7 linked regions of the Macaca fascicularis genome follow. The protein of the gene in region 5 interacts with the protein of the main gene of each other region in a biochemical or structural test. Links are inferred from orthologs where the notes say so. Each region holds a gene or a part of one and is shown on either strand. Other genes may lie near its edges. The genes, in order: E2F1, SERTAD1, CCND2, NPM1, CDKN2A, TRIP12 and CDK4.

Evidence for each region.
Region 1: the proteins of CDKN2A (region 5) and E2F1 form a complex in vitro, tested with the Homo sapiens proteins (2 studies listed by BioGRID). The link is inferred for Macaca fascicularis from reciprocal best matches to the Homo sapiens genes CDKN2A and E2F1.
Region 2: the proteins of CDKN2A (region 5) and SERTAD1 form a complex in vitro, tested with the Homo sapiens proteins (2 studies listed by BioGRID). The link is inferred for Macaca fascicularis from reciprocal best matches to the Homo sapiens genes CDKN2A and SERTAD1.
Region 3: the proteins of CDKN2A (region 5) and CCND2 form a complex in vitro, tested with the Homo sapiens proteins (2 studies listed by BioGRID). The link is inferred for Macaca fascicularis from reciprocal best matches to the Homo sapiens genes CDKN2A and CCND2.
Region 4: the proteins of CDKN2A (region 5) and NPM1 form a complex in vitro, tested with the Homo sapiens proteins (3 studies listed by BioGRID). The link is inferred for Macaca fascicularis from reciprocal best matches to the Homo sapiens genes CDKN2A and NPM1.
Region 6: the proteins of CDKN2A (region 5) and TRIP12 form a complex in vitro, tested with the Homo sapiens proteins (2 studies listed by BioGRID). The link is inferred for Macaca fascicularis from reciprocal best matches to the Homo sapiens genes CDKN2A and TRIP12.
Region 7: the proteins of CDKN2A (region 5) and CDK4 form a complex in vitro, tested with the Homo sapiens proteins (12 studies listed by BioGRID and IntAct, with this or other methods). The link is inferred for Macaca fascicularis from reciprocal best matches to the Homo sapiens genes CDKN2A and CDK4.

The regions. Positions count from the first base shown.
Region 1 is NC_088384.1:89,710,102-89,714,256, reverse strand, and holds the start of E2F1 (transcription factor E2F1), read left to right. Parts: upstream 1-1,355; 5' UTR 1,356-1,476; coding exon 1,477-1,737; intron 1,738-4,155. UniProt on the Homo sapiens protein: Transcription activator that binds DNA cooperatively with DP proteins through the E2 recognition site, 5'-TTTC[CG]CGC-3' found in the promoter region of a number of genes whose products are involved in cell cycle regulation or in DNA replication.
Region 2 is NC_088393.1:47,526,844-47,531,082, forward strand, and holds the start of SERTAD1 (SERTA domain-containing protein 1), read right to left. Parts: upstream 2,801-4,239; 5' UTR 2,683-2,800; intron 124-2,682; coding exon 1-123. UniProt on the Homo sapiens protein: Acts at E2F-responsive promoters as coregulator to integrate signals provided by PHD- and/or bromodomain-containing transcription factors. Stimulates E2F1/TFDP1 transcriptional activity.
Region 3 is NC_088385.1:5,164,640-5,168,139, reverse strand, and holds part of CCND2 (G1/S-specific cyclin-D2), read right to left. Parts: intron 1,452-3,500; coding exon 1,302-1,451; 3' UTR 1-1,301. UniProt on the Homo sapiens protein: Regulatory component of the cyclin D2-CDK4 (DC) complex that phosphorylates and inhibits members of the retinoblastoma (RB) protein family including RB1 and regulates the cell-cycle during G(1)/S transition.
Region 4 is NC_088380.1:178,182,340-178,186,492, reverse strand, and holds the start of NPM1 (nucleophosmin), read right to left. Parts: upstream 2,801-4,153; 5' UTR 2,704-2,800; coding exon 2,646-2,703; intron 600-2,645; coding exon 520-599; intron 1-519. UniProt on the Homo sapiens protein: Involved in diverse cellular processes such as ribosome biogenesis, centrosome duplication, protein chaperoning, histone assembly, cell proliferation, and regulation of tumor suppressors p53/TP53 and ARF.
Region 5 is NC_088389.1:76,950,524-76,954,602, reverse strand, and holds the start of CDKN2A (cyclin-dependent kinase inhibitor 2A), read right to left. Parts: upstream 2,801-4,079; 5' UTR 2,777-2,800; coding exon 2,651-2,776; intron 1-2,650. UniProt on the Homo sapiens protein: Acts as a negative regulator of the proliferation of normal cells by interacting strongly with CDK4 and CDK6. This inhibits their ability to interact with cyclins D and to phosphorylate the retinoblastoma protein.
Region 6 is NC_088386.1:125,855,031-125,859,160, forward strand, and holds the start of TRIP12 (E3 ubiquitin-protein ligase TRIP12), read right to left. Parts: upstream 2,801-4,130; 5' UTR 2,732-2,800; intron 2,549-2,731; exon of another isoform or gene 2,461-2,548; intron 2,189-2,460; coding exon of another isoform or gene 2,093-2,188; exon of another isoform or gene 2,082-2,092; intron 1,578-2,081; exon of another isoform or gene 1,457-1,577; intron 947-1,456; exon of another isoform or gene 848-946; intron 1-847. Other genes in the region: FBXO36 (F-box only protein 36), read left to right, coding at 2,093-2,188. UniProt on the Homo sapiens protein: E3 ubiquitin-protein ligase involved in ubiquitin fusion degradation (UFD) pathway and regulation of DNA repair.
Region 7 is NC_088385.1:64,568,384-64,572,405, forward strand, and holds the start of CDK4 (cyclin-dependent kinase 4), read right to left. Parts: upstream 2,801-4,022; 5' UTR 2,677-2,800; intron 2,240-2,676; 5' UTR 2,221-2,239; coding exon 2,003-2,220; intron 1,848-2,002; coding exon 1,712-1,847; intron 1,595-1,711; coding exon 1,427-1,594; intron 1,270-1,426; coding exon 1,160-1,269; intron 1-1,159.

The sequences.
Region 1 (4,155 bases), on a different chromosome or scaffold from region 5:
AACCATAGTCTCCTTGTCACAGTCTAAGCAGCCTCTGGCTTAGCGTCTGTTTCTTTCATAACCTTTCTCAGCGCCTGCTCTCGGTCAGACCAGTGATGGGAGGAGTCGCTACTGAGCTCCTAGATTGGTAGGGGAGGCAGATGGAGAAAAGGAGTGTGTGGTCAGCATTGGAACAGAGGCAGCAGTGGGCAATAGAGGAAGCGAGTAAATCCTTGGGAGGGCTCCCCAGAAGTGATGTGTTTTGTTTTTGCGACAGGATCTCGCTCTGTCACCCAAGCTGGAGTGCAGTAGCATGATCATAGCTCACTGCAGACTCGACTTCTCGGGCTCAAGCAATCCTCCCAGCTCAGCCTCCCAAGTAGCTGGGACTACAGGCACGCGCCACCATGCCTGGCTAATTTTTGTATTTTTTGTAGAGACGGGTTTTCACCATGTTGCTCAGGCTGGTCTCAAACTCCTGGACTCAAGCGATCCACCCCGCCCTCTGATTACAGGGATTCCAGGCGTGAACCACCGCGCCCAGACGACGCTTCATGTTATTGTAAACGTTTGTTACCTTTCTGTTCCCGTCTACTAGACTGTGAGCTCCTCAGGGCCACGAGTTAAGGATGGGGCAGATTTAAGGATGAGGCACAGAGCAGGCTCTTCAAACGTTTGTTGAATGAGTGAGGGAATGAATGAGTTCAGGCCGACGCTTTACGTTGGCTGTTGGAGATTTTGGCTAAAATGGGACTTGCAGGAAAGCTTGACGTCCCCCCGCCATTTCTAGCCACCGCTCTTCAGCTTGGGCTCTGGGTGAGCGGGATAGGGCCGGGTGCAGGATTAGGATAATGTCATGGGTGAGGCAAGTTGAGGATGGAAGAGGTGGCTGATGGCTGGGCTGTGGAACTGATGATCCCGAAAAAAAAAGGGGGCAGTCTCTGGAAATCTAAGCTGAGGCTGTGGAAGGCTACAGGTTGAGGGTCACGTGCAGAACAGAGGCTCTGTTCTGAACCTGCACTATAGAAAGGGCAGTGGGATGCGGGAGCATCGGGGCGGGGCAGGGCGGGGCGGGGCAGGGCGGGGCCCGTGTTCCCGTGTCCCCACGCCTCCAACAGGGGACGCCCGGGCTGGGGGCGGGGAGTCAGACCGCGCCTGGCACCATCCGGACAAAGCCTGCGCGCGCCCCGCCCCGTCATTGGCCGTACCGCCCCGCGCCGCCGCCCCATCCCGCCCCTCGCCGCCGGGTCCGGCGCGCTAAAGCCAATAGGAGCCGCCGCCGTCGTTCTCGTCACGGCCCGGGCAGCCAATTGTGGCGGCGCTCGGCGGCTCGTGGCTCTTTCGCGGCAAAAAGGATTTGGCGCGTAAAAGTGGCCGGGACTTTGCAGGCAGCGGCGGCCGGGGGCGGAGCGGGATCGAGCCCTCGCCGGGGCCTGCCGCCATGGGCCCGCGCCGCCGCCGCCGCCTGTCACCTGGGCCGCGCGGGCCGTGAGCGTCATGGCCTTGGCCGGGGCCCCTGCGGGCGGCCCATGCGCGCCGGCGCTGGAGGCCCTGCTCGGGGCCGGCGCGCTGCGGCTGCTCGACTCCTCGCAGATCGTCATCATCTCTGCCGCGCAGGACGCCAGCGCCCCGCCGGCTCCCACCGGCCCCGCGGCGCCAGCCGCCGGCCCCTGCGACCCTGACCTGCTGCTCTTCGCCACACCGCAGGCGCCCCGGCCCACACCCAGTGCGCCGCGCCCCGCGCTCGGCCGCCCGCCGGTACGGACCCCAGGGACGACGCGCCGACAGCGCCTCCTGTGCCCCCCGCGCAGACCCGGGAGGGCGCCGTGTTTGGCCTGGAGGCGGCAGGGGGCGGGGGAGGGGTTGACTGAGGCGCCCAGGCTGGGCGGTGCAGAGCCGGGGTTGGGCCTGCGGGCCCCGCCCTGGGGTGCGGGGTGACCTCGGGCCGGTCCCTGTTTGCTCCTCTGTGCTCTGGGCCTCAGCTTCCTCACTGGAGGCTCCCCAGCGTCAGACTCAGTGATAATAATAACCCACGTGTATTCAACTGGCGTTTACTGCATGCCAGGCCTTCGGCCGACTTCAAGTCAGCTAAAACTCACAACCCCGCTGTGAGCTGTGTTGTCACTGTGCCCATCTGACGGAGGAAGAACTGAGGCCCAGAGAGGGGAAGTGACTTGCCCCTGGTCATACGGCTGCAGGTGGTGGGGCTGGGATTTGAACTGAGGCCTGCTGGCTTCAGCTCAGAATTTGCATCTCGGTAGTGAGCACAGCTGCTAGGGGAAGTGAAGGCGGGGCGGAGGAAGGTCCTGGGGCCTAACCGTTGGTGAGCCATTGAGGAGACCCTCCTTCTGCCTCGATGCTGACTGCCAGGTGCAGGCCTGGCTGGCCAGGCCTCTGGGGACAGCCCTCCTGGCTGGGAGGCCTTCTCTGCAGGGGCGGGGCAGCTGGACCAGCTGCAGGTCCCCTCCCTCTGCCTGTCCTTCCATCTGCCACCCTCCACCCTCCCAGGCCCTGGTTGCCATGGAACCTCATTAATCAGGCAGGCCGACCCCTGAGTCTCTGTAGAAGGACTAGGTGGGCTGGGCCTCTGGGAGCTGGAGAGGCCCCCAGTGCCAGGAGAGAAAATGTCCCAGGGAGATCCTTTAATAAAGTCCTCCCTGATCGCTGAGCTCAAGACCAGTTCAGACTGGGGGGCCCAGAAGAGGCGGCTGAATTACAGTGGGAGAAGGGATTGGAGGTGTAGAGCTGGGACCTGTGGGGCGCAGGGCAGGGTGTGGAGACCAGTTTGACTGGCGCAGCCTATGGGTGAAGGTGGGGCTCTGGTGTGCAGGCGGGGCCTGGCCAGGCAGGATGGGGTCTCAGCAGGGAGCTTGAAGCAAGTGGGAGGGGTGAGGCAGGACTCAGGACAAGGAGGTAGAAGCTGCCTAACTGCTGATGGGGGTGTGGGTGGCAGCTGGTCCCTGAGGCATCCTGAGGAGGCTCCCCCAACCCCCTTGGCCCCATGCCCAATGCTGCCTTCCGGAATCACCACAATGCTAATAATAATAACAATAGCAGCCACCATTGTTTTGAGGATGTCTTGTGTGCCAGGCTCTGTGCCAAGCACTTTACCTAATTAACTCATTTAACCCTATCAGCAGCAGTCCCTTTTTACAGATTGGGAAGCTGAGGCCTAGAGATGTTAGAATCTTCCCATGTCATTCTGCTCTTGAGTGGGGAGACCAGTCTGCATTTTCTGTGAGGTTGACCTCTGGGACGCCTTGCTTCCTAGAGATGCTGATAAAGGTTGGAGAAAGGGCAGGAAGGGCTTTTAGGGGCCCTTCCTCTTAATGAGTGGGTGGGAGGGGTTTGTACCAGGGGTGGACCAGGTGGCCTGTCTCCTGTACTCCAGGGACCTGTCCCTGTGGGTACCGCTTGGGACCTGGGCAAGCATCTTCCATTCAGTTGTGTGACAAGCATATAGCAGGCTCAGGTCTGCAGAAACCTAACAGAACCCGAGGGTCTTGTCCTCAAGTAACTGAACAGGATTATGGGTTCTAGGATCAAAGGGAGGGACAGGGGCAAAGAAAAATGCCCTCCGCGCCACCTGTCAGGGGCAGGCTCATTGGCTTGGGCACTGCATTCATTCAACGGTTGTTGAATTAGTGAATGCCCAGGAGGCACTAGGCACAGAGACAAGGAGCCCCGGCTCCCAGAATACGTAAGGGCCAGGAGGCTAGCACCATTCTGGAGCTGAAGTCCAGAAAGTCCACAGGTTCGGCTTTTGGCCTCTCTGCACTGGCATTTGTCTGGGGCAGTCCTTGAAATAAGCTACAGGCTTAGCTTCTATACCAGCAGGCATTCGTTGAACACCTGTATATAACGCTCTGTGCGATTTGGCCATTCCTCTTGGCCCTGCCTGTCCACTTCCACAAACTCAAGTATTATAACTATAATACGTGTTTACTATGGAAAACTTAACTTTTTTTTTTTTTTTTTTCCGGAGACAGGGTCTCATTCTGTTACCTAGGCTGGAGTGAAGTGGCGTGATTGTGGCTCACTGCAACCTCCGCCTCCCAGGTTCAAGCTATTCTGTGCCTCAGCCTCCCAAGTAGCTGGGATTACAGGCGTGTACCACCACGCCCAGCTAATTTTTGTATTTTTAGTAGAGATAGGGTCTTGCCATGTTGCCCAGGC
Region 2 (4,239 bases), on a different chromosome or scaffold from region 5:
GGCCACAGCTGGGGGTGCCTGTGCCACTGATGCGTGGCCAGGATCCAGCCACCAGGCGTCGACTGCCAGAGGTTCCTTCTCCTCCTCCTCCTCCCGTTTCCGCTTCAGACCCTTGCTCAGCATCTGCAGAGGGCAGGGAGTTATGGAGTTATAGTCAGTTATAGAAAACAAATATTCAGTTCAAAGCCTGGATCTGACAGTTGCTACAGGTAGGATCTTGGGCAAGTCACTTAACCTCTCTGTGTCTAGCTTTTCCTAGGGAACTTTAAAGATATAGACAATTTTTATTTAATTGCATATGTATATTTATAGATTATTATTATTATTATTTTGAGATAGAGTCTCGTTCTGTTGCTCAGGCTGGAGTGCAATGCCGTGATCTCAGCTCATTGCAACCTCTGCCTCACGGGTTCAAGTGTTTCTCGTGCCTCAGCCTCCCCAAAAGCTAGGATTGCAGGCGCACGCCACTATATCTGGCTAATTTTTATATTTTTAGTAGGGGTGGGGTTTCACCATGTTGGCCAGCCTGGTCTCGACCTCCTGGACCTTAAGTAATCCGCCCACCTCTGGCTCCCAAAGTGCTGGGATTACAGGTGTGAGCCACCACACCCAGCCTATAGACTTTAAAAAAAAATTTTTTTTTTTTTTTTTGAGACAGTCTCTCTCTCTGTTGCCCAGGCTGGAGTGCAGTGGTGCGATCTCCACTCACTGCAAGCTCTGCCTCCCGGGTTCACGCCATTCTCCTGCCTCAGCCTCCCACATAGCTGGGACTATAGGCGCCCGCCACCACGCCCGGCTAATTTTTGTATTTTTAGTAAAGATGGGGTTTCACCATGTTAGCCAGGATGGTCTCGATCTCCTGACCTCATGATCCACCCATCTCGGCCTCACAAAGTGCTGGGATTACAGGCATGAGCCACCGCGCCCGGCCTTAAATTTTAAATTTTGTATTTAAGTATATTTATAGACTTTTTAATCTGAAAAAAGAGATGGGGTCTCACTATATTGCCCAGGCTGGTCTCAAACCCCCTGGCCTGAAGTGATCCTCCCCCCTCAATCAATAAACACTCTTTTTTTTCCCCCCTTTTATTTTTTGTAGAGACAAGGTCTTACTATGTTACCCAGGGTGGTCTCAAACTCTTTGCCTTAAGCCATCCTCCCGCCTCAGCCTCCCAAAGTACTGGGATTATAAGTGTGAGCTGCCATGCCCTGCCAATAAGTACACTTAATGATAACATTATTATTTCTTCAGTGAACCATGTGGAATGACCATTCAACTTTTTCCCCTACAAAAGCAGCTGTTTCATATATTATAATAACGTTATAAATAATTATATCTAAGTAAGTTATATTATAAATACTAAACTAGTTTCACATAGTTTAACACTTATTGTCTACTATGACGTTTCAAACAGTAAATAAATAAGCAAACACAGGAAATGTACGGAGAATTACAGGAAGACACTAAAAGGTCCTGCAGACCTTTTAGATGATCAGAGAAGGCTCCTGTAAGGAGGTGACATTTGAATGGAGCCCTCAGGCCAGAGAAGTCGGCCATGGGAGACCCTGGGAAAAGCATTCCGGGAGGAGGGAACAACAAAAAAAGGCAAAGAAAAGCCCAGAGGCTGGGGGAATGGGCACAAGCCAGGTCACAGAAAACCACATATGCATTAGTAGGGAGTTTGGATTTTATCCTGAGTGTGGTGGGCAGTCATTAAAGGAATTTGAGCACGGAGGGAATGGGGGTGTGAGCTGATTAGGTTTCCGGAAGATCCCCCCCATGGCTGCTTCGAGGAATACTGTAGGGGGCAAAAAGAGGGGGGATCTGAGACCCACTAGTAGGCTGTACTGGTTTGGGACTGACGATAGTGATGGCCTGGAGCAGGAGCTGGTAGTGGGTATGGAAGGAAGTCGGTCGAGTCAGGATTTCTTTGGGAGGCAGAATAGACAGGGCTTGTCGAGAAATCGTGATCGGCACCGGGGTCAGTCACTGAGATAAGTTTGAGGGTCCACTCTTTTCTTGGAGTGGCGGGGGTAGGGCTGGATGGAGTTTTGGACCCCTGGCGCTACCTACTTTTTTGGGCCAGGAAGACTGAACAGAGTCCAGTTCCGGGACCCTGCCTAGCAAGATTTTAAGAGTGGCCCACCACACTACTCAAAACTGGGTCTTCGTCCCCTTCCCCGCAGTCCGTGGAGTCCGGAACCGCAGGAATTCCGCCCCCACCCCCGACTCCGCCCCCGAGTCCCGGCGCCCCCTGGCGGTGCCCAGGCCGGCTTTCCCCTGGGGATTCTGGCCCCTCTGACCCCAGAACCCCTTCTACTGCCCCCCTTCCCGGCTGTGATTCCTGCAGGCCTCCCGGCGCCGTGCGAGCCAGGACCCTAGGCGGGCTGTTCTCTGCGCCCGGCCTCCGCTCGCTTCCGGCAGTGGAGGCGGCTCCTCCCGAAGCGGCGGCGGCGGGGGCGGGTGAGTCACGCAGCCGGAGCCAAGGAGCCGGCGCCTCCGCCCCCTTCTCGGACTGCGGCGTGATTCACCCGGCCCGGCCGGGGCAGACAGCACGTAGAGGCCCGCGCGTCTCGATCCCGGGCAGCCCCGGCGGGCACCTGTCGGACCCAGGGATCGAACTCCGTGAAGGACCCGGCCGTTGGTACCCCTTTTCTTCCCAGGCCCCTTCATTTACATACCCTGCTCACTAGCGGCCAATCAGAACGAAGAGGTAGCCACCCACAACCAATCAGGAAACGGCAGCGGCAGCATCGCTTGCTCGCTCTCCTCCAGCAACCGGCGCCTGGGTCGCGAGACGCAGTTCTGACTTCGGCTCACGACTCCAGACTCCTAACTACCCTTAGCGACCGCCCACTCTCGTGGCTGCCCCGCCCTCCGCCCCAGGGATTGGCCCTCTACGGTGATGGGCGGAGCCTGTAAAGGGCGGATTCTGAAGGAGGGGCTTCTGGGCGCATGCCCGGGCAGCTGCGCGAGTGAGGGGTGGAAAGAGGTGGCTTTTTACTCTGGGGGACGGTGGCGAGTGGGAGCTTTTGCCTCTCAAAGTACGAGCCCCTGACAACTACCCATGCACCTGCCAAACCCGGCAATTAAGCTTCTTACACATCCACCCCCGACAGTGGTCTACACTACAGATATGCCCGGGTTCAAATTCCGACTCCTGATTCCCCACTCACTCGATGCGTGACCTTGGAAAAATGATCAACCTCTTCAAGCTACACAAAGTTAAATGGGGATCGTCTTGCATACCTCTTGACAAGAAAGTTTAAATAGGATCGTATCTATAAGAACACAATACCACACTCAAGCAATGCTGGACAGTTGGACTTAATTGTGGTTAAGGGCGGCAGTGAGGTGGGAGTGCGGAATCACATCCCGGGCTCCATTCCCTAAGCAGCTGTGTGACCTGGGGCAAGTGTTTTAATCCCTTCGGGTCTTTTTCTCCTTTAACATGAGAGAAAATAGCCCCTAGTTTAGAGGATTGTTTTAAGGATTAAATAAAACAATTCATGCAAAATCCTCAGAGTGGGGTGCAATGTGTTTTGTGTTTTTTTCATTTTATTTATTTATTTATTTATTTATTTAAGACAGATTCTCACTCCGTCGCCCAGGCTGGAGTGCAGTGGCACGATCTCAGTTCACTGTAACCTCCGCCTCCCAGGTTCAAGCAATCATCCTGCCTCAGCCTCCTGAGTAGCTGGGAATACAGGGGTGTGCCACCATACCCGGCTAATTTTTGTATTTTTAGTAGAGGTGGGTTTTCACCTCGTTGGCCAGGCAGATCTCAAATTCCTCACCTAAGGTAATCCGCCCTCTCAGAGTACTGGGATTAGAGGCCTGAGATGCCGCGCCCAGCTGCCTTTTTTTTTTTTTCTTTACTTTTTATTTTATTTTATTTTGTTTTTGAGACAGGGTCTCGCTCTGTCACCCAGGTTGGAGTGTAGGGGTGCCATCTCAACTCACTACAGCCTAGACCTCCAGGGTTCAAGCCATCCTCCTGCCTCAGACCCCCAAGCAGGTGGGACTACAGGCACATGCCACCGTGCCTGGTTAGCAACACGTTTCCTTGTTAGCAGTAATAGCTGTTGTAATAAGACAAGCTTTTAGTTCAAGATGAATAGACATGCAGGATGGGGCTAGAGGTAGACAGGGTATAATACTCCTCCCTTGGCTGGATGCAGTGGCTCACACCTGAATACTCTCTCACCTAGATTTAATTGATAGTTGTTGGCCAGGCA
Region 3 (3,500 bases), on a different chromosome or scaffold from region 5:
CATCTATCTTTGCACCAGCAATAACTTTTCTTTCCATGTCCAAAGGAGAAGTATAGAGATGGGAATTAAGATGCTTCTGTGCCATCAGAATGGTAACAGATTGTAGTTTACAGGCTTTTCTGAGGAATGTTGTGATGGGAATGTCAGCAGGAAGGGGCGTCTCTCGAGTCCTGGGAGGAGCACCAGAACTGTGTACCAAAGAATGGCAGATACCACAAGCGAAGAGTAACCCAGACTGGGGGCAGGAAGGGAGGGGGCAAAAGAGAAGAGGGGAGGAGTATTCAGCATGACTTGCATAAACCATCCCATCTATCGCTCGGGAACAATTTTTCAAAGTGCTTTTCGAATGGAATGGTTTATAACAATGCTAAACTGTGAACCAGACATGCCAATCAGCACCAAAAATTCGTTTTTTTCTAAGAAGAAATGCCAAGGCCACATTACCCTTTAAAATACAATAACAGAAAGGATTCCATTCTGGATCCCACCCTTGGTCTCCATCTGCCTCAGTTTCATGTGAGTTTTGGTGATGGCCCATAGCTACATTTCCCCATTAGGCAGCAATATGGTGGTGTCTGCAATGAACTGCATTTGGAAGAAGCGGGATGTCACAGAACATGAAACCCAGGAGCCAATCACCTGTGTCCAACTGGCAAAATAAAACATCTTTTTTAGGTAGCAGCTACTGTAGACAGCAAGAGGACATTAATGTAGAGATCCAACCACACTCCTGACTTAGTAACAGGTGGCTGAGAGCAAAGGCGCTTCTCCACCCCAAATGGTTCAATCATGTTGAGAGATTGTTTTGTACTCCTTCCCCATCATGTCCCTCCTTATTTCAATTCCTTCTTGAGTTCATTGCTTTGCAATCTAATCATGCCATAAATGGCGTACACAGTTCCTTGAAATTATACTACAAGGGGGTGTATGTGCTAGCTCATAACATGAAAAAAAAGTCTCCACTAATTTGTTCCCATATTGCAGGCATACATATTCTCTAACTACTCTGCAGGTTTTCCTGTAAGCATTTTACTATTACTTTTACATAATCAAACAATAACTGTTCGCATATACAAGGGATTCCCTTATGCTGTACTTCAAATAGGCACCAAATGCTCTTTATTATTCCGTTTTTATAGGACTTTTTTCTCTCACTTCTAAAAGATCTTTAAATATGATCTAGGTGGGGGCAGAATTTTTTTTTACGTTTCATCCTAAAACACAAATAACAAAAACATAACCAGAAAGAAGGAGAGAGCAGATTATGGACGCGTCTCTCTCTTTCGGCCCAACTGGCATCCTCACAGGTCGATATCCCGCACATCTGTAGGGGTGCTGGCTTGGTCCAGTTCATCCTCCGACTTGGATCCGTCGCGCTGGTCCTGACGGTACTGCTGCAGGCTGTTGAGGAGCACCGCCTCAATCTGCTCCTGGCAAGCTTTGAGACAATCCTAGAACAATGGTCCAGACCAGAGCTGTTAGCAGGAGAAACAGGACACAGAGCATCCTCCCAAGAAAACATGCATAATTTAGCTTGCGTAAGTCTATGCTAGTTCCCAGTTGAAATAAATGTGAAGTAAAGGAGGGGTGTTCTTAAAGTGCCAAGGAACCTCACTACTCTAGGTCGGGTCCGTGGGCTGGCAGTGTCAGCATTACCTGCGAGCTCGCTGGAACCGCAGGATCTCAGTCAATCCAGGTCGAGCTCATCAGAACCTGCATTTTAGTGGAGCCCAGGTGATTGGAATTCTGAGAAGCACTGGCCTAAATGACGGTCCACTTACGGATGCCTGGTAATCAAGGGGCCGACCAGATGCTTTCTGCCTGGGGAAGCTGGGAAGTGGCTACTAGAAAAGGGGAAGGCTACTAGAGGTGCTATGACATTAGCAAACTCAGCCCCTGAGAACTAGATAAGAAGGAAGCCAACGAACCAACGTACTGACACTCACATAAACTGTAAATACATTTTCTCACTCTTGTCCCCCAGGCTGGAGTGCAGTGGCGCGTTCTCAGCTCACTGCAACCTCTGCCTCCCGGGTTCAAGCGATTCTCCTGCCTCAGTCTCCCAAGTAGCTGGGACTATAGACGCCTGCCACCATGCCTGGCTAATTTTTGTATTTTTAGTACAGATGGGGTTTCACCATATTGGCCAGGCTGGTCTCGAACTCCTGACCTTATGATCTGCCCGCCTCGGCCTCCCAAAGTGCTGGGATTACAGGCGTGAGCCACCGTGCCTCACTGTAAAGACTTAAAAAAAAAAATCCCCAATTTTTTCTGCTTCTTTACCATTTCCTTAACTCTCATAAAGATATAATGCAAAATGTCTACAACATTCTGGACCCTTGAGCCATCCAATCTGGGAATAAGCAAGAATATGCAGCATTGCTTTAGTTATCCGTCTATATTGTAGGGGAAATGGACAGTGTGTTTGCCCCAGGCAGGAGCTTCCCTTAGGCAGGTGACATGCGATGCAATGACAAGTCACCGGTATCACTAGACAGGGACCATTGCTGGTGTTAGTAAGAGGGTACGAACAGTAGACTTGCTTCTAACAGGCATTTTCTGGCCTCTCTCCTCTGCAAAAGTGCCTCTGTGCACTCTCTTAAGAAGCACATACATAAGCAAAATATGTTAAATTGAACCTCCCGGTGTCTTTTCATAGTTTAATACAAACTTCCCTTTTGCTTCTTTCACTGTGCAGTTCTCCCCACCCAGAGGTTTCTATTTTGCCAAGTCCAAAAGCATTCTCTTTATTTCCCAAAGATCTAAAATACAGCAGGCCAGGCATATGGGCTCCCGCCTGTCATCCCAGCACTCTGGGAGGCCGAGGCGGGAAGTTGAAACCAGTGCGACACCAGCCTGGACAACATAGCTAGTTCCCCATCTTTAAAAACAAACATATAAATAAATGAAATAAAGCTGCAACTAACCACTAAGGAACAAAATTTCCATACCCCTCAAATGTTCCTTTCCTATCGCTCGTCTATTCCACATTTCAGACTACAGCTTTCAGTGAAAATTAAGATTAGGAACAACCACAGACTAAGAGGTCAAAGGCAGAGACAAAATGTCACCTGGAACAAGGAGATGAGGAAGGGTGGTATTTGCTGCCCACCTACCATGCTTGCAGGTGGCCCTCACGTTATTTAACTTTTCTTATCTCAGAGTTTCCCCACAAAACACTCAGAGTAAAGGGCAACTGAGATGATACTGATATACGTGCAGTGCTAAGTAGAGCTCGATAAATGATCATGATTATGTGTAACAATAAATTGGTCCTGGAACCTGAAAGAATCCCTCAGATTTATTTGAAATGAGGTATAGAATTGCCTTCAGTCAAGACTGGTGAAGTGTGTGTCAAGATCGTGTGTCCGGTTCTGGGGCGAGCGCTGAGCATGACAGACGTGAACCAGCGGCAGGAGTCTCCGTGCCACCCTGAACGAGGCTGAAACGGAGTCAGGCACTGGCCTCCAGGAATTGCTAAAACCTGTCAGACGTTCCTG
Region 4 (4,153 bases), on a different chromosome or scaffold from region 5:
CAACAGTTGCAATGAGGCACATGACTATGATTTTTTAAAAATACAAGTATAAACCTATCACTGTTACCTCAGAAAACAAATCTGTGCAATGTTATCCTCAGGTTTTGTGATCTTGGCAAATCAATTTCTCATATTCAGAAAATTTAACAAATGCATAAATATGCATACACACAATATAGATCACCTAACTTATTTATTGAGCAACTTCTAAGTTGAGAGAAAAGCTAGTCTCTGGTAGACATGTAAGATTATCGATGCCTTTTACAAGGGCTTTATAATCCAACTGAAGAAAATAAGGCAAGTTTAACAATGTGACTGGATTTTACATGGTTACCAAATGAGTATAGATGCCAAGTTCTTCATCAAAGATGTACAGACAGTGAGGTACACACAATACCCAGGTGTAAGAAATAGTATTTTATAAGCAGTCAGCAAAGGAAAAGTCTCAAGCCACATGAATAGAAACTAAAAGGCTGAAATCAAGTAGGGTTAAGTAGTTTATTTTGAAAGTTTAAGTACCGTTCTTAAAGATAACTGGTGCTCATTTTCATCATTATCCACCTTAAAGTGATAATCTTTGTCGGCCTTTAGTTCACAACCTGTAAATGAAGAAAAAAGCAACTCTAACAAGGAGAAAAATAACACTGAAACTTAAGTGTGGGTAACCAAAAAGGTCAGGTCTAACTTTTGAACTAGTTTTCACAATTTTAGCTACCAGAGGGCAAAGCAGAATGATCAATTCCTAGATTTCTTGAACAGAAACCTCTACAAACAAGTAACACCCATAGAAGTCTACAATTCTATCTTCTCCTCATACCATATTTCATCTCTAACTACGCTGATAGGCACTGTTATTCTGCATACAGAAACGAGCTCAACGGTTTAGTAAATCTGAACCTAAAACAATTACCTGAAACCAAATGTAATGTCCAATGTTAAGTTTCCCACTATTTAAAACAGCTGATTTACCCACCTAAATTCCCAAATGGAAAGTTCGAAATGAGAACGGTTACAAACATGAATAGCTTACTATTACAAAAGAAAAACGACAAAGGTAAAAGAACCAAAGCTTGCTACAGGGGTCAACACTCTACTCTTTAAAGCAACAGAAAGTGACATACGCCTGAAACTATATTCAGAAACTATGTTTAAGACAAGGAGGGTTGTTTCCAACAGTTATCAAAAAGTACTGATATAAATTTATCAGAATTCTCAGTTATCCAAAACAGCTAGGAATTAAAGCCTTAATGTTTTAAATACATGTGTCTACTGCCACTCCATCCATGCATGGGCAAAATTCTTTAAAATACTGTCAGAATAAAAATTTTAAATAATTCCATTAACTACCATCTAACTGTTACCAATACATATACATGCTTAAATGTGAAGAGGTTTAATTAACAAATCTCAGCACGGATAATGAACAAGATAAAATTCACGGTAGGATTCGCACTTACTTCAAAGTCTGAATAGTATAAAGATTAGGCTTCTGTAATTAAACCTACTGACATTAAAAACCCAAGTGGGACTCTCCTTTTTGGGGCAGGGCTACCGCAAGTCGAAGGTGGTGGTGGTCCCAAAATTCTGCGAATAGTTTTAGGTCTTGATCTGACTCAAATCGAACACTCTACGTGTTTCTTGTATTTAAATAAGCGGTTTGGTCAATGCTGCACAAATGGCGGCATGCGAGGACGTCCCCCTAAAACGAAGCCTCATTAATATTCACGAAGCAGCAGCTACGAGTCAAGGGTCTTGGTTTAGTTTTAGCCTCTTTGCCTATAAGTACAACCTTCGTTAAGTGAGTTAATCTCTGGGCACCAGTGCCGTCATCTGCAAAGTGGGGCTAGCTCCAGCTACTGCAGTGAGACAGAAAAGGGGCTCAAAAAAAAAGAGCTGCCATCACAGTAGATGCTGTAAGCACTGAACAAAGGCCTCCAGAATCCTAGTGTTACCAGCCTCTTAACATTTCCCACTTCAACTGAGCCACAGCATCCCTTGATCTGGAGTAACAACATGCTGGTGAGCCCCGGATGTAGTGCCCACACCCCCCTCCCTCCCCCAACCACGTGGCAACCACGTGCTCCCAGCGGTTGCGGCCTCCTCACGCCGCGCCGCGCCTCCCCTCCCCCAGTAACTGGCCGAAGCACGCGAGTGAAGTCTGGGTCCGGCAGCTCCAGACTCAGGTCAGAACAACGCCAGGCTGTGCATCTACCCTCTCCAACAAGCAGGCCCATGCTTCCCGGTAAACCCAGCCTCCGGGACCACCAACCCGGGGCCTGGGATCAGAAGCCTACGAACGAACTCCGTTAGAAAATAAACCACGCCTGGGGCTCCGCGGCGTATCCCCGGCAACGGCCGAACTTCCAGGCGGCCAGTTCCGCTACACCTCAGGCCCTGGGCCTCGGACTGCTCACGCTCCAGGCGCTTCAGGCCGCTCGTCTCCTCCCCCTTCACGCCTCCGGCTCCCCCCGCGGCTCCAATCCCACCAGGTCCAGGGCTCGGGCAGCTCTTCCCACCCGCTCAGGCCTCCAGCCGGTCTGGCGGTCTCCACCAGACCCTGCTGCAGCCGGATTCCCTCCCCTCACCCCCGCCTTCACCGCCACCAGGCCCCGCTCGGCCTCGCTCCAGCTCCCCCCTGCAGTTACCGAAAAGATAGTTCTGGGGCCTCAGGGGGCTCATGTCCATGTCCATCGAATCTTCCATCAGGTGGCGGCACGCACTTAGGTGGGAGAGAAGGCGGACGGAGATAAACCAACGCTGCTCCAGAGAACAGCCGCGCAGGACGGAATCACACCAGGGAAAGGACGCAAGCTCCCCGCGCTTATATATAGCCCCTGAAGATCTCGCGAGCGCTTCTCAAGTCCCGCCTCCGCGCGCGTGCTCCGGAGCCTTCCCACCCCCGTACCGTAGCTCTCCTGCGCAAGCGCTCTTCAACCACACTCCTTTCTACCTCGCCCCCCACCTCCTTCCAGGTACTCCGCGGGCTCCCACCGAGCACGCGCACTCGTACACTGGCCCCACCCCTCCACCGCTGTCGCCTGTGCGCACGCGTGCTTTCCAGTCGTAACGCGCGCTCCCCACCTCCAACACTTCCACGTCCTCTCCCGCTCAAGCGCTCCGGCCTCCCGCCAAGAGTCTGCGTAGCCCACCCTGCAAAATGGCGTCGGCAGCTCTTAGCTGTGTTAGATATGGCGGGTTGTTAGCTGGCTGGGAATGAGCCGGAGAGCACCTCGATTCACTTCCCCCATACCCTAGTGCCTTGCAAACCTCCAAACAGGCGTAATCATTTCAGGATTTTTTTTTACTTGCCTGAAGGCTTGGGATCGCAGTTAATCGTTACCCCAAAGTTCAGGTGCCGGAGAGTGAATTGCGGCTTATTCTTTGTTAGGAAGGAAAGATGTAGCTACCGGCCAGGCTTACGGAACTGTGTTTTTACAGTTCTGCCCTTCCTGAGAAAACATCTCCAAAGTCCTCATCTTTATGTAATTTGGGGGCCTAAAGGGGACTGAATCAGTCTCCAAATGAGCAAGGACATCGCCCTAAGAGAGCTCGGAGGGTGGGCAGACTCTTGACTTCTTGCCGCTCTTAATCTTTAGGATTCCTCCTGAAAGAAAGCGAGTGACTTATAAGAACTACAGAAGCCTTAATCGAATATTTGGTAGCGAGTATGGGAATTAACATTTTAAGCTACACGTTGACAAACTCCGAGGTACCCCAGCAGCCCCGGGCATTGGGGCGTTCTGAAGACCCATAATTTTTTTTTTAGCCTCAACATATCAAATTTAAGAAGTGAAGAATATAAATGATAGCCTCAGAAAGGAAGACCCCCCCACCCCAAGGCATTATTTCTTACAAGAAAATTATACAGACGATTTCAGCATCCATCAAAAGAGGAATGAACAGTTAAATTATAACATATCCATAATATGCGTTAGTTTTGACACATACTAACGCATAATATGGATATGTTATAATTTAACTCTTCCTTTCTGAGAGCGCCTGTGTCACATAAAGCTTTGAGTCACTAAATTTGTTATGTTTTTTTTTCTTTTTTTTTTTTTGTGGAGAGAGTCTTGCAGTGTTGAGTGTTGTCCAGGCTGAAGTGCAGTGGCGTGATCTCGGTTCAATGCAACCTCCGCCTCCCGGGCTCAAG
Region 5 (4,079 bases):
TTACCACTCCCCATTCCTCCCACTGCCCCCCTCCCCAGCTCCAGCAACCACCATTCTACTCTTTACTGCTAAGAATGTATTTGTTTTATATTTCACAGATAAGTGAGAACATGTGATATTTGTCTTTCTGTGTTTGGCTTATTTCATTTAGCATAATGCTCTCCAATTCCAAAAATTCAATTTCTTCAAGTATAAAATAAGAATGCTAGACTAGCCCTAAAATTCCTTCCTGTGGTAGGTTGAATAAGGTCCCCCCCCACAAATGTCTATGTCCTGATCCTCAGAAACTGTTAATTTATTAACTTATGTAGCAAAAGAGGCTTTGCAGATGTGATTTAAGTAATGGTCTTGAGGGAGATTATCCAGAATTTTCAGGGTGGGCTCAATAGAACCCCAAGTGTTTTTATTAGAGGGTCACAGTCAGAGAGAAGATAAAAGAATGGAAGCACAGGCCACAGAGAAAATACAGGGAATATGAGCCAAGGAATTTGATGGTCACTAGAAGCTGGAAAAGACAAGGAAACAGATTGTCCCTTAGAGTTTCCCAAAGTGGACCCATTTTTGACTTCTGATCTCTAGAACTGTACTGTAAAATAATAATTTTGTTTGTTTTAGCTAACACATTTGTGGTAATTTGTAACAGCAGCAATAGGAAACGAAAAGGCTTCCCAGGTTTATGATTTGAGAGTTCATTAAACAAGAGATGGTCACCTTTTTGGTTCCTAAATCATCTTGGAAACAAAGCCATTTCCAGAGAGGAATTTTAAAATACTGTCTCCAGTCATAGCAACCTTAAAATTTGAGTGTTGCATGGTGGAAATAAACAATTTATTTTAGGATAACTGTTATTTGTTATATTAGCTTGAGGATGGTTGTGTTAAAGAGGAATTACTTATTTTTAGGTACATTTCATACTAAACACAAATTGCATAATTTGCCTAAATCAAGGAATTATACTAAATTATATTATGGTTATTAAATGCTGTCCTGAGAAAGTGAAACTGACTTAGTTTTCAAAGAGACAAAGAGAAAGTATAAGCAAACCAAATTGCAGCTACAAAAAGAAAGACAAAATGTTGCAGCATATTTATTGTTCCGTGTGTTCACTGAAGTTCTCTTTGTCTTGGTCATAAAACTAGCCTTAAAGGTTTTTATTATATTTCATAGAATGAAAAACCTAAAAAGTAACCCATATGTAAATATTTAAATCATGATATAAATCCAAAGCAAAAAGAAAATGAATTCATTGAATTAAAATGTGTAGGATGCTTAAACCCATTTGATAATAAATTGATATGAATTTAGCATTTAAAAATATTATACAAATAAGTGTTCCTATATTAAACACCAGTGTAGTTAGGATTCTAAGCCAACAACACTTCCCCTTTTCTACATGTTCTTCTCCCTTCCCCATTAAAAATTGTCAAAACTATCCACTTTTCTTTTTCCTTTTTGTTTTTAAACAAATAAGGTCTCTTCTAAGATGTTTTAGGACTACAAAGCCAAATTCCCGGGTCCAAGCTGTTGGCAAAATTTTAGAGATGCTAAGTTACCCATGCATTAATTACTTTTAAATCATCCCCTAACTCCCTCACAAAACCGGAGTAGGGAGAGGAGAAACACCACTGTTCAAAAATGAGGAATTGAAAACTCTATCACAAAATAAACTATTATCAAGTAAGCTAAAGATAGCAAAACAGTAAAAATATTAGCAGATATTCCCAAAATGGTGACTACATATTACTTCTGGCACGATCACATGAATGTAGCTCATTATTTCCTAAGTTCCTACAGCAAACATGTATTTATTTGCCCTACTCAGTTAAAAATAAACACAATATGTAGTTGCTTCTGAATGCTTTTTTTTTTTTAATCTCCCTCTCTTTCTTTCTTTCGACAGTCTCACTCTGTCACCCAGGCTGGAGTGAAGTGGCTCCCTCTCGCTGTTCACTGCAACCTCAGCCTCCCGGGTTCAAGCGATTCTCCTGCCTCAACCTCCCGAGTAGCTGGGATTACAGGCGCCTGCCACCACCCCCCGGCTAAGTTTTGTATTTTTAGTAGAGGCGGGGTTTCACCTGTTGGCCAGGCTGGTCTCGAACTCTTAGGTGATCCCCCCGCTCCTTGAGCTCCCAAAGTGATGGGATTATAAGGCGTGAGGCACTGCGCCCGGCAGCTTCTGAATAATTTCGATCAGAAATTTATATTCGATATTTATTCCAACATACAGCACAGATTTCCACTGATAATCCCTACTAGTAAGAAAGATAAACTCCATCCAGGCATCTGTGAATTGGGGGCTAAGTAGTCCCAGCACATCTTACATTTCTTTAAGACTCCCGTTTTATCTCAAACCTTCGTAAGTTTTGTATCTGATAGAGCATACTTCCATCTAATACAAATATGTTCCCCCCTTCAGATCTTCACAGCATTCGAGAGATCGGCACGCGCGTGCCTCCTCATTCCTTCCTTGGCTTCGCAAGCACCCAGGGCTTCGCCAGCAGGAGGTCTGTGATTACAAACCCCTTCTGAAAACTCCCCAGGAAGCCCTTTTTTCCAGACTCAAAGCGCTACCTGATTCCGACTCCCCTGCAAACTTCGTCCTCCAGAGTCGCCCGCCATCCCCTGCTCCCGCTGCAGACCCTCCACCCACCTGGATCGGCCTCCGACCGTAACTATTCGGTGCGTTGGGCAGCGCCCCCGCCTCGAGCAGCGCCCGCACCTCCTCTACCCGACCCCGGGCCGCAGCCGTGGCCAGCCAGTCCGCCGAAGGCTCCATGCTGCTCCCGGCTGCTCGCTCCCTGCTCTCCCACTCTCCGCAGCGGCCAAGTGCACGCGGCCGCCCCACCCTCTGGTGACCAGCCAGCCCCTCCTCTTTGTTCCTCCGGTGCTGGCGGAAGAGCCCCCTCGGCCTCTGTCCCCCTCAACTCCTCTGGAGGGATCGCGGTATCTTTCCAGGCAGGGGGGCGCCGTTCGCGAGTGCTTGGAGGAGGTGCTATTAACTCCGAGCACGTAGAGAATGTGGCACCCCTGAAGTCGCCCCAGGGTGGGCCTCCCCCGGGGGCACCAGCCGGAAGCAGCCCCCGCCAGAGCCAGCGTTGGCAAGGAAGGAGGACTGGGCTCCTCCTCCTCACCTGCCCCCAACACCGCCCTCCGGCCTCCCTGCTCCCAGCCGCGCTCCCCCGCCTGCCAGCAAAGGCGCGTTCGAGTGCGTTCACTCAGTTAAAAAGAAAAAAAGAAATCCCCCCGCCCCCCGCCCCGTTTCCTTCCTGCGCGGTACAACCTTCCTAACTGCCAAATTGAATCGGGGTGTTTGGTGTCATAGGGAAAGTATAGCTTCTTCTTTTAATCATAAGAAAAAGCAAAACTGTTCCTTCCTAGTTGTGAGAGCCCCACCGAGAATCGAAATCACCTGTACGACTAGAAAGTGTCCCCCTACCCCCTCAACCCTTGATTTTCGAGAGCGCGGGGTTCACTAAGTCAGAAATCCTAGTTCAAAGGATTCCTTTTGGAGAGTTGGCCTACCCTCTCCTTCTCCACCCCTTCCCCTCCTACGTGTAAAATGGCTGTCTGGGGCAAGGGTTTCTCAGACGTGTACATTGCCTGGTATAACAGCAGACTCTGAAAAGATGAGGTTTATTTAATACGGGGGAGATTTCTGCCTGTAGGCAGATAGGAAAATGGAGATGGAGTCATTGGAAGGACGGACTACATTCTCAAAGTCATAATTCCTAGACCAGAAAAAGTGCTCAGTGTTCTAGAGGCAGAGTTGCACAGTGATCCAAAGACCCGCTTTACACATTGTCCTGTCTCCTACACACTCCTCACATTTCTCTTTCCTACTGAAAATACTTTGCATTTTTCTTAGTTATAAAGGGAGAAGGGAATATGGGTACCCCCTGCTTTACAGGGGTGTTGTGAGTTTAAATGAATTGTTGTATATTAATACATATAAGAGTTAAGAACACTGCCACACATCCTAAACTAATACCTGTTAGCTCTTGAATTATCCGTTTTGAGGATTGGCTTGCACTCTTGTTTTGAGGCATAGAAAGAAAATGCTTTGGAGCCGGACGCGGTGG
Region 6 (4,130 bases), on a different chromosome or scaffold from region 5:
TAGAACGGATTCACTGCGCTATTAACCGTACCCGCCCCCCCGCCCCCCCGCACCGGCCCAACCTTTACACACAGACACATTCCCTCCCCGAGTTAACTAACGAAGCAATTAAACTATGCCCACCACCAGACTCGATGCTTAGGCTAAACCTCCCCCAGACAAAGTAAAACAGCATTATCAAAAAAACAAACAGATCTGTCTTAAGGGTTTGGAAGCTGCCCCTTCCGTTCTCTCCTCACCACGTAAGGTAACCAATTCTCTCCTGTCCCCCACCAGCAGTTCAAACGTGTGATTTCCCCCCATTGACATGTGCTTTTATGTTTTTCCGTATTTTTCCGTCTAAGAAACGAAGGATTTCTTATTCTGAGGAAGGGAAAGACGCTGAGGAAGACAGGATTTGAGGTTTTACTACCTTCGTTATTCGAACTCCCCTCCAACTTGTTCCTGTACTAGAAAACCCACTCACTATGGAGAAGGAAGGAGAGGGGCTGCACTGATGGACAAACGTTGTAATAGGTTTTATGTAATCCACATATAAATAAATTAATCGCCTGACTCGCTCTGAATGCTAATACGATTGGGGTGACAATTGGCCCACCTCCCTCCCCCAAGTCCTAGTTAAACCCACCTACCACCAATTTCCATTCTGATCTATTTAAAAGGATACTCTATTCCTCTCAGTCAAGTTTCTTGGCTTCTTTAGGCCTCCCTGCATGCCCCCCTCGTCATCATCCTCCCTCAGCCTCAACTTCCCACGGCTTAAAAAACTGCCCCGCGCAGACCCCGTCTCCGGGCTCGCCCTCCCTCAACCGTCCCTCGCCGTCCCCCTGGGCAGGAAACCCCTTACTGCGGTCTAAAGTCACTCCGGCCTCTCCCTCCTCTGACCCTCGCTTCCCACAACTGTTGTCACTCGAGCTGCTCCCTAGTTTCCATTTCCGGGCCGTCCACAGACCCGGAGCCTCCCCTTTCCCAATTTCCGGGCCCCTCGTCCCATTTCCGGGGAACCCTTGCCGTCTTCACACCCCCCACCTGCACTTCCGGCCCCCCACTTTCTCTCTTCCCAGACACCCTCCAAGCTCCAAAGCCCACTTCCGGCCCCTCTCGACCCCCGCCGAGCTCCCCAACACCCGCAAGCCTTACCCCGGTTCTCTGAAGGGCCCTTCTCATTGCGGGGAGCCGGAGGAGGGACCCAGAGACCCCTGCCTCCCGCCGGGCCCCGGTCCCTCCGGCCGCGGCGGCCCTCGAGCGTCTCTCCCGTCCACCCCCGGCCCGGTCCTTCCGCGGCTCCGCCGCCGCCGGCGCCGGGAGCAGGCCAAGCGGGGGCCGAATCGCGGCGATGACACAACCGGGCTTCCTGGGACTTTCTGTTCCAGCTCCTCCCCTCGCCCCCCCAAACCCTCAGCTGGCCCCCTCCCCCCAGGCCTGCCCCCGCCGCCCGGAGCTGCGCCCCAATTACCTAGTTAGGCCCCAAAGTCTCCGGTCCGGACTCGGTGGCGCGGCAGTAACTTCCACTAGCTCCCCCCACCCCCCCCAGCGGCGGCGGCAGCGGCGGCTCCGGGTTCCTTCAATTATCAGCTGAGCCGCAGCACCGCGCTCGGCGTGCGCCTCCGCCCGTGCCGCCTCCCTCCCCGCCCGCTCTGACACCCTCGGGGAACTACTTTGCCCTCGGGCTCTGGTTGACGGGCTCGTCCGCGGGACCGGCCCCGCTGCCTACTGGCGGCCCATCACATCGCCCCTCCCTCCCCTACCGCCCGGCTCGACTCTCCCAGCAGCCTCCGATCTCCGCCCGATCCCTTCGAGGGACCAGGAAGGGGACTGTGGAGCTCCACTTGGTATCCCTCCGCCGGGATCACCCCCTCCCCTCCGTGGTAGCAGGAACTAATTCCCCTTCGGGTCACCCGGGACCTGGAGCTGGAAATTTCACGGATCAGGGTTCCCTGAGACCCTTGGAGAAGGGGAGAATCGCCCCAAGTTAGAAATCCTTCTGCCAGCTCATAAGCGTGGTTCAATTTAAACTAGGGTTTTGGCCCCTTGACCCCGACCAAGCCCCGCCCCTTCCTGGTTGTCTTAGCGACGGCGGTGGCGTCCCAAGATGGCGTCGAGGCTGCCGGAGACTCTGTTTGAAACTGTAGGACAAGGCCCGGCGCCCAGCAAAGACTATTACCAGTTACTGGTCACCCGGTCTCAGGCAAGTGCGAGCCCCGGTTTACCCTCTCTCCTAACTCCCTACCTGGCCCGGTTGGGGCCCGGGACCCAGGCTGTGCTAGGCCGAGAGCAGCCGTAGCCCGCCGGAAGCGCCCGGTCCCGGCTCCGCGCCGGGAGATTTTCCTCGTCACCTCGGCCTCCTCGGTCCGGCGGCCCGCGTGTCCCTGCTCTCCCCGAGCCCGGCTAGTCCCTGGCAAGCCTTCTCTGCCTCCCCGCGGTGCCGCGCGCTCCTTTCCCGCCACCCCGGCTTCCTACCCGTAGAGTTCCCTCCGCGCGAAGAGGAAAACGGGCGTCCCAGGCTTGCGTGCGGCCTCACCTCAGCGTGAGAAGGAGGGAAAGAAAGACTCAACCAAGTGTCCCAAGGAGGAGCGGGCTAGGGAGGGGAAAAGGAGATTGCCTCTTTTCCAGGATAGGAATTAATCATGGAGAATTTTATAAATCTCTTTGTGGCCTTTACGCGTGCCATGGCCACATCAAAAGTTAGTTATTTCTAGTAGCAATTGACGATTGGGAGCTCTTCTCTTACCTTTTTGAGTCCCTTCTATCCCATTGAAAGTGTGCGGGTGGTGGTATAAAAATGTTTCAGCAGCTCTGCGCTTCAGCCCCACCCATAATGACATCTGCTCCACAACAATAAGACCGAGGATTATATTATCTCCAAAGTAACCATCGGCCTATTTTTATGCCTACTTTGGTTATTGAAGGTGGGCTTTTGGATGATTTACTGTGTCCATGAAATTCTCAACTTGAGCGGGGCCTCCATTGGGAAGACGTTTTCTAATCCTGGCTGAGCTTATGCCTGTCACTGAGTTATTCATGCACCCTGCGCTTGCAATAGATACTATTCTATTCCTATAAAATGAAATTTAGAAGTTTGTATATATTTGTTTTGGTGTGCATATTGATCATTCCCTCGATTTTCCCAGGAGCCCTTAAACAAAATAGGTAATGAGTTAATTTTTTATATTTTTAAAAGCATCTTTTAAAATATAAATGTTAATATATTTTTTTAAGATTTAGAAATATTACAAATGTAATATTAGACTGTCCAAAAAAATTTTTTTAAAAAACAGTACTGCTCCTTGCGGAGCAGGGCTAATTCGTAGGCAGTGGGCCCAGAGTCAGCCTCAAATTTTTAATTAAACTGTTTTTAGGGGTTTTTGCTCATTTGGTGATTTATGAAATACTGAAAGTCATCCTTTTTTGTACATTTTTTTTTTTTTTTGAGACCGAGTCTCGCTCTGTCGCCAGGCTGGAGTGCAGTGGCGCGATCTCAGCTCACTGCGACCTTGTTTCACCATGCTGGCCAGGATGGTCTCGATCTCTTGACCTCGTGATCCGCCTGCCTCGGCCTCCCACAGTGCTGGGATTACAGGCATGAGCCACCGCTCCCGGCTTCATACCTTTTTTAAACGGATTATTGATTTTTCCATTGGCTTTAAGATTTATTTGTTTATTTATTTATCAAGAGGGAGTCTCCCTCTGTTGCCCTGGCTGGAGTGCAGTGGCGCAAACTCAGCTCACTGCAACCTCTGCCTCCTGGGTTCAAGCGATTCTCCTGCCTCAGCCTCCTGAGTAGCTGGCTTGTGCCAGCACAGAATTACAGGCGTGTGCCACCACACCCAGCTAATTTTTGTGTTTTTAGTAGAGACAGGGTTTTGCCATGTTGGCCAGGCTGGTCTCAAACTCCTGACCTCCAGTGATCCACCGGCCTCAGCCTCCCAAAGTGCTGGGATTACAGGCGCCGACCACCACGCCTGTCCAATTTTTTGTGTGTTTTTAGTAGAGACGGGGTTTTGCCATGTTGGCCAGGCTGGTCTCCAACTACTGACATCAGGTGATCCAGCAGCCTCGGCCTCACAAAGTGCTGGGATTATAGACTTGAGCCACCGCGCCTGGCCAGCTTTAAGATTTATGATCCTGAC
Region 7 (4,022 bases), on a different chromosome or scaffold from region 5:
GGTGAGAAGGGACATAAGGTAGCAGTCATTTTCAAAGATATCTTAGTTGAATGGTTACTGCTTAGTGGCCCAAAATAGAAAGCACAGGGAATAAAGGTCGATAATTCCAGCACTTTGGGATGCTGAGGTGAGAGGACTGCTTGAGCCCAGGAGTTCCAGATCAGCCTGGGCAAGCAAGACCTTGTCTCTTAAAAAAAAAAAAAAAAAAAAATTGCTGGGCACAGTGGCTCACGCCTGTAATCCCAGCACGTTAGGAGGCTGAGGCAGGCGGATCATGAGGTCAAGAGATTGAGACCATCCTGGCCAACATGGTGAAACCCCGTCTCTACTAAAAATACAAAAATTAGCTGGACGTGGTGGCACGCACCTGTAGTCCCAGCTACTTGGGAGGCTGAGTCAGGAGAATCACTTGAACCTGGGAGGCGGAGGTTGCAGTGAGCTGAGATCGCACCACTGCACTCCAGCCTGGCGACAAGGCGAGACTCCGTCTCAAAAAAAAAAAAAAAAGCCAGTCATGGTGGCATGCACCTATAGTTTCTGCTACTCAGGAGGCTGAGACGGGAGAATTGCTTGAGCCCAGGAGATAGAGGCTACAGTGAGCTGTAATTGGGCCATTGCACTCCAGCCTGGGTGACAGAGTGAAACCTTATTGCAAAAATAAATAAATAAATAAAAGAGAATAAAGGGATATGAAGTTCCTAATTCTAGAGCATTTCAGAGCTTTCTGCTATGGGCAAAGTAGTCAGTAGTATGCAAGTAAAAGAATGGGGCCAGGTCCAGTAGTTCACGCTTGTAATCCCAGCACTTTGGGAGATAGCGGTGGGAGGACTGCTTGAGTACAAGAGTTCAAGACCAGCCTGGGCAATATACTGAGACCCCCCCCCTCTACAGAAATATTAAAAAACTAGCTGGGCATGGAGTGTCAGCTACTTGGGAGGCTGAGATGGGAGGATCACTTGAGCCCAGGAGGTTGACACTGCAGTGAGCTGTGATCATGCCATTGCAATCCAGCCTGAGCAACAAAGCAAGCCCTGGTCTCAAAAAAAAAAAAAAAAAAGAAAAAGAAAAAGAAAAAGAAAGAATGGGCAGGGTGTGGACGTGGTTTATGAACAAGCAATTTGGGGAATTCAAGGTGGTCCAGGGTATGTGGGTCCCATACTTTCGACGAAACATCTCTGCAAAGATACAGCCAACACTCCACATGTCCACAGGTGTTGCATATGTGGACTGCAGAAGAACTTCGGGAGCTCGGTACCAGAGTGTAACAACCTAAAGAGAATAGGAAGAATGGATGGGGACTCCATGGGTTACCACAAAACACAACTTGCTTGACTGAACACATGAAGCACATGACTTCTCAATTGCTACAGGCAATCACTCTCCTACTCCCAACCAGAACCCATTTTGGTACCATCTTTCTACTGACCACGGGTGTAAGTGCCATCTGGTAGCTGTAGATTCTGGCCAGGCCAAAGTCAGCCAGCTTGACTGTTCCACCACTTGTCACCAGAATGTTCTCTGGCTTCAGATCTCGGTGAACGATGCAATTTGCATGAAGGAAATCTAGGCCTCTTAGAAACTGGCGCATCAAATCCTAGTTTAGAAGGGGGAGGTACAGATGCACTGGAAACTAGGCACCATACCTGAAATCCCAGGAGGTTTTACTACAAAGGTCCCAATCCACCTCTCAATGCCTACCAAGCCCACTCACCTTGATGGTCTCGGCTGGCAAGCCTGGTGGGGGTGCTTTGTCCAGATACGTCCTTAGGTCTTGGTCTACATGCTCAAACACCAGGGTTACCTTGATCTCCCGGTCAGTTCGGGATGTGGCACAGACGTCCATCAGCCTGGCCAGAGTAAATGCTCACTTTTCAATCCCCTTTAACCCAACATGGCCTCTCATTATTTCCTCAGGGTCCCCACTTCTCTACAGATCACCACACCCCACCTATAGGCTGTCTTTTCCCTTTACTCCCCACTCCCCTCGTCACCACCTTCTCACCGGACTACATTGGGATGTTCAAAAGCCTCCAGTCGCCTCAGTAAGGCCACCTCCCGAACTGTGCTGATGGGAAGGCCTCCTCCAGCTCCTCCTCCATTGGGGACTCTCACACTCTTGAGGGCCACAAAGTGGCCACTGTGGGGATCACGGGCCTTGTACACTGTCCCATAGGCACCGACACCAATTTCAGCCACTGGCTCATATCGAGAGGTAGCCATTCTCAGATCAAGGGCGACCCTACAATCACAGACTCCTATCACCAAAAGTCCCTTACAGAATTAGCATGGTATGAGCCTGCAGCAACAAAAGGACTCCCAAAAAAAAGCACAAAGAGCAACACTAGCATCCCATCCCCCGCTCGCAGCCTTCCTTGGGGCCGGCCCCAGAGATAACACAATGACTCAATACCAACCCCTCCAGCCACGTGAGGCCCTGCAATAAAAAACGCATTTTCCTTTGGGACAATCGCGCCCTGCACAAAGATCACACATGACACATGCCTTGCATCAAAGATCCTACACCTCAGTCCCTAAAATTATACTTTCCCATGACCACAAAGGCCCCACTTCCCGCCCTTGAGCGACCCCTCCATAACCAGCTCGAGAAACGAACGCGTGGAAAACTGTGAGGGGGGCGGGCACTGGTTCTCATTCCCGGGAAGGGACTGCACTTACCTCACGCCAGGCCGGGGTGCTGCGGGGGCGGCCCGTTATCGGGGCCCCGGAGCTGGTTCCTACGGCCCCATACACCCAAGCTCGGTCCGGGGCAGCTGGACGCAGAGGGCCCGACCATAGACACAGGCCGCAAGCTAGAGAGGCCCCCTCACCCCCACCCTCACCATGTGACCAGCTGCCAAAGAGGCGCGCGGAAACTGGGAGGGCGGGGCGAACGCCGGACGTTCTGGGCACGTGACTGCCACCCATGCGCGGAGGGGTGGCCAGGAGCCGCTTTGACGGGGAGGAGGGCGAAGAGTGTAAGGGGGCGGAGGGGCGATGGTAGCCACGTGATCTGTTGCTATCACACGTGACCGCTTGACATTGCTCTGAGGAGCAGAGGTGTGGTTACGCGGCGGGCACATGACTGGCTGCCACAACCCCCGCCGCGGGGGGGCGCGGTAAGGGGACAAGAGAGGGTGGAGCCCGAGGCGGTGCCATGGCAACCTAGGCCACCCAGAGCCCAACTCCCGGCTGAAGGATTGTCTCACTACCGGTCTGAAGGCTGAACTCCAGTCTCACTACCGGTCTTTCAGCCTGTCTACATTGGGGAGGGAATGGGAGTTGGGGTACCAGAGGTGATGCTGTCACCTTTTCGCTCCACCATGATAAAACATACTCTCATTTGTGTCATTGATTCATTCATTAATTCTACAACATTTTACTGAGTGCTTGCTTCCAGTGTGTATGTGGGTTTTTATTTTGTTTTGTTTCTGGTGTCTGTCACTGGCCCTTTAAAGTAGTGGTACGACTATCTAGAAAGATGTAGCCAACAATGGGGTCTTCTAAAATAGGGAGTAAACAATGCCCATTTGAGGGCAAAACTACGATTAAAGGACGGACAGAAGGCAGATTAATACAGTAATCCAACAGGTTCAGTGACAAGGTAATGCCCCCTCTTTTCTCAACTTCCAAATCTCCCTGGGAGTGTTAATGCAAAGACCTGAGGCCATCTGGCAGAGAAGTTATTAATGAGCAGGAGACAGGAATACTTGACCTTTAAGTTTTTTTTTTCCCCAGTAGGACGGTTCTATGATTATGTGATATTTTTATATGTGTATATATACTTCTATGTATATATGTATGTATATATTATTTATTACATGTAATATATAAGATGGATACAGGAGTGTACATGTGCAAGAAAGTTACCACCACACCCCCTGCACCCTCCAGACCACCACAATGAATGAAAATGACATGTCTCCTTCTGTAAACCTTGTGACTGCTCATTTGGAGTCATTGTGCTTCCCTCTTTTTCCCTAGTGCCTCTTTCTTAGCACTTAGCGGTGTCCAGAACACACTTT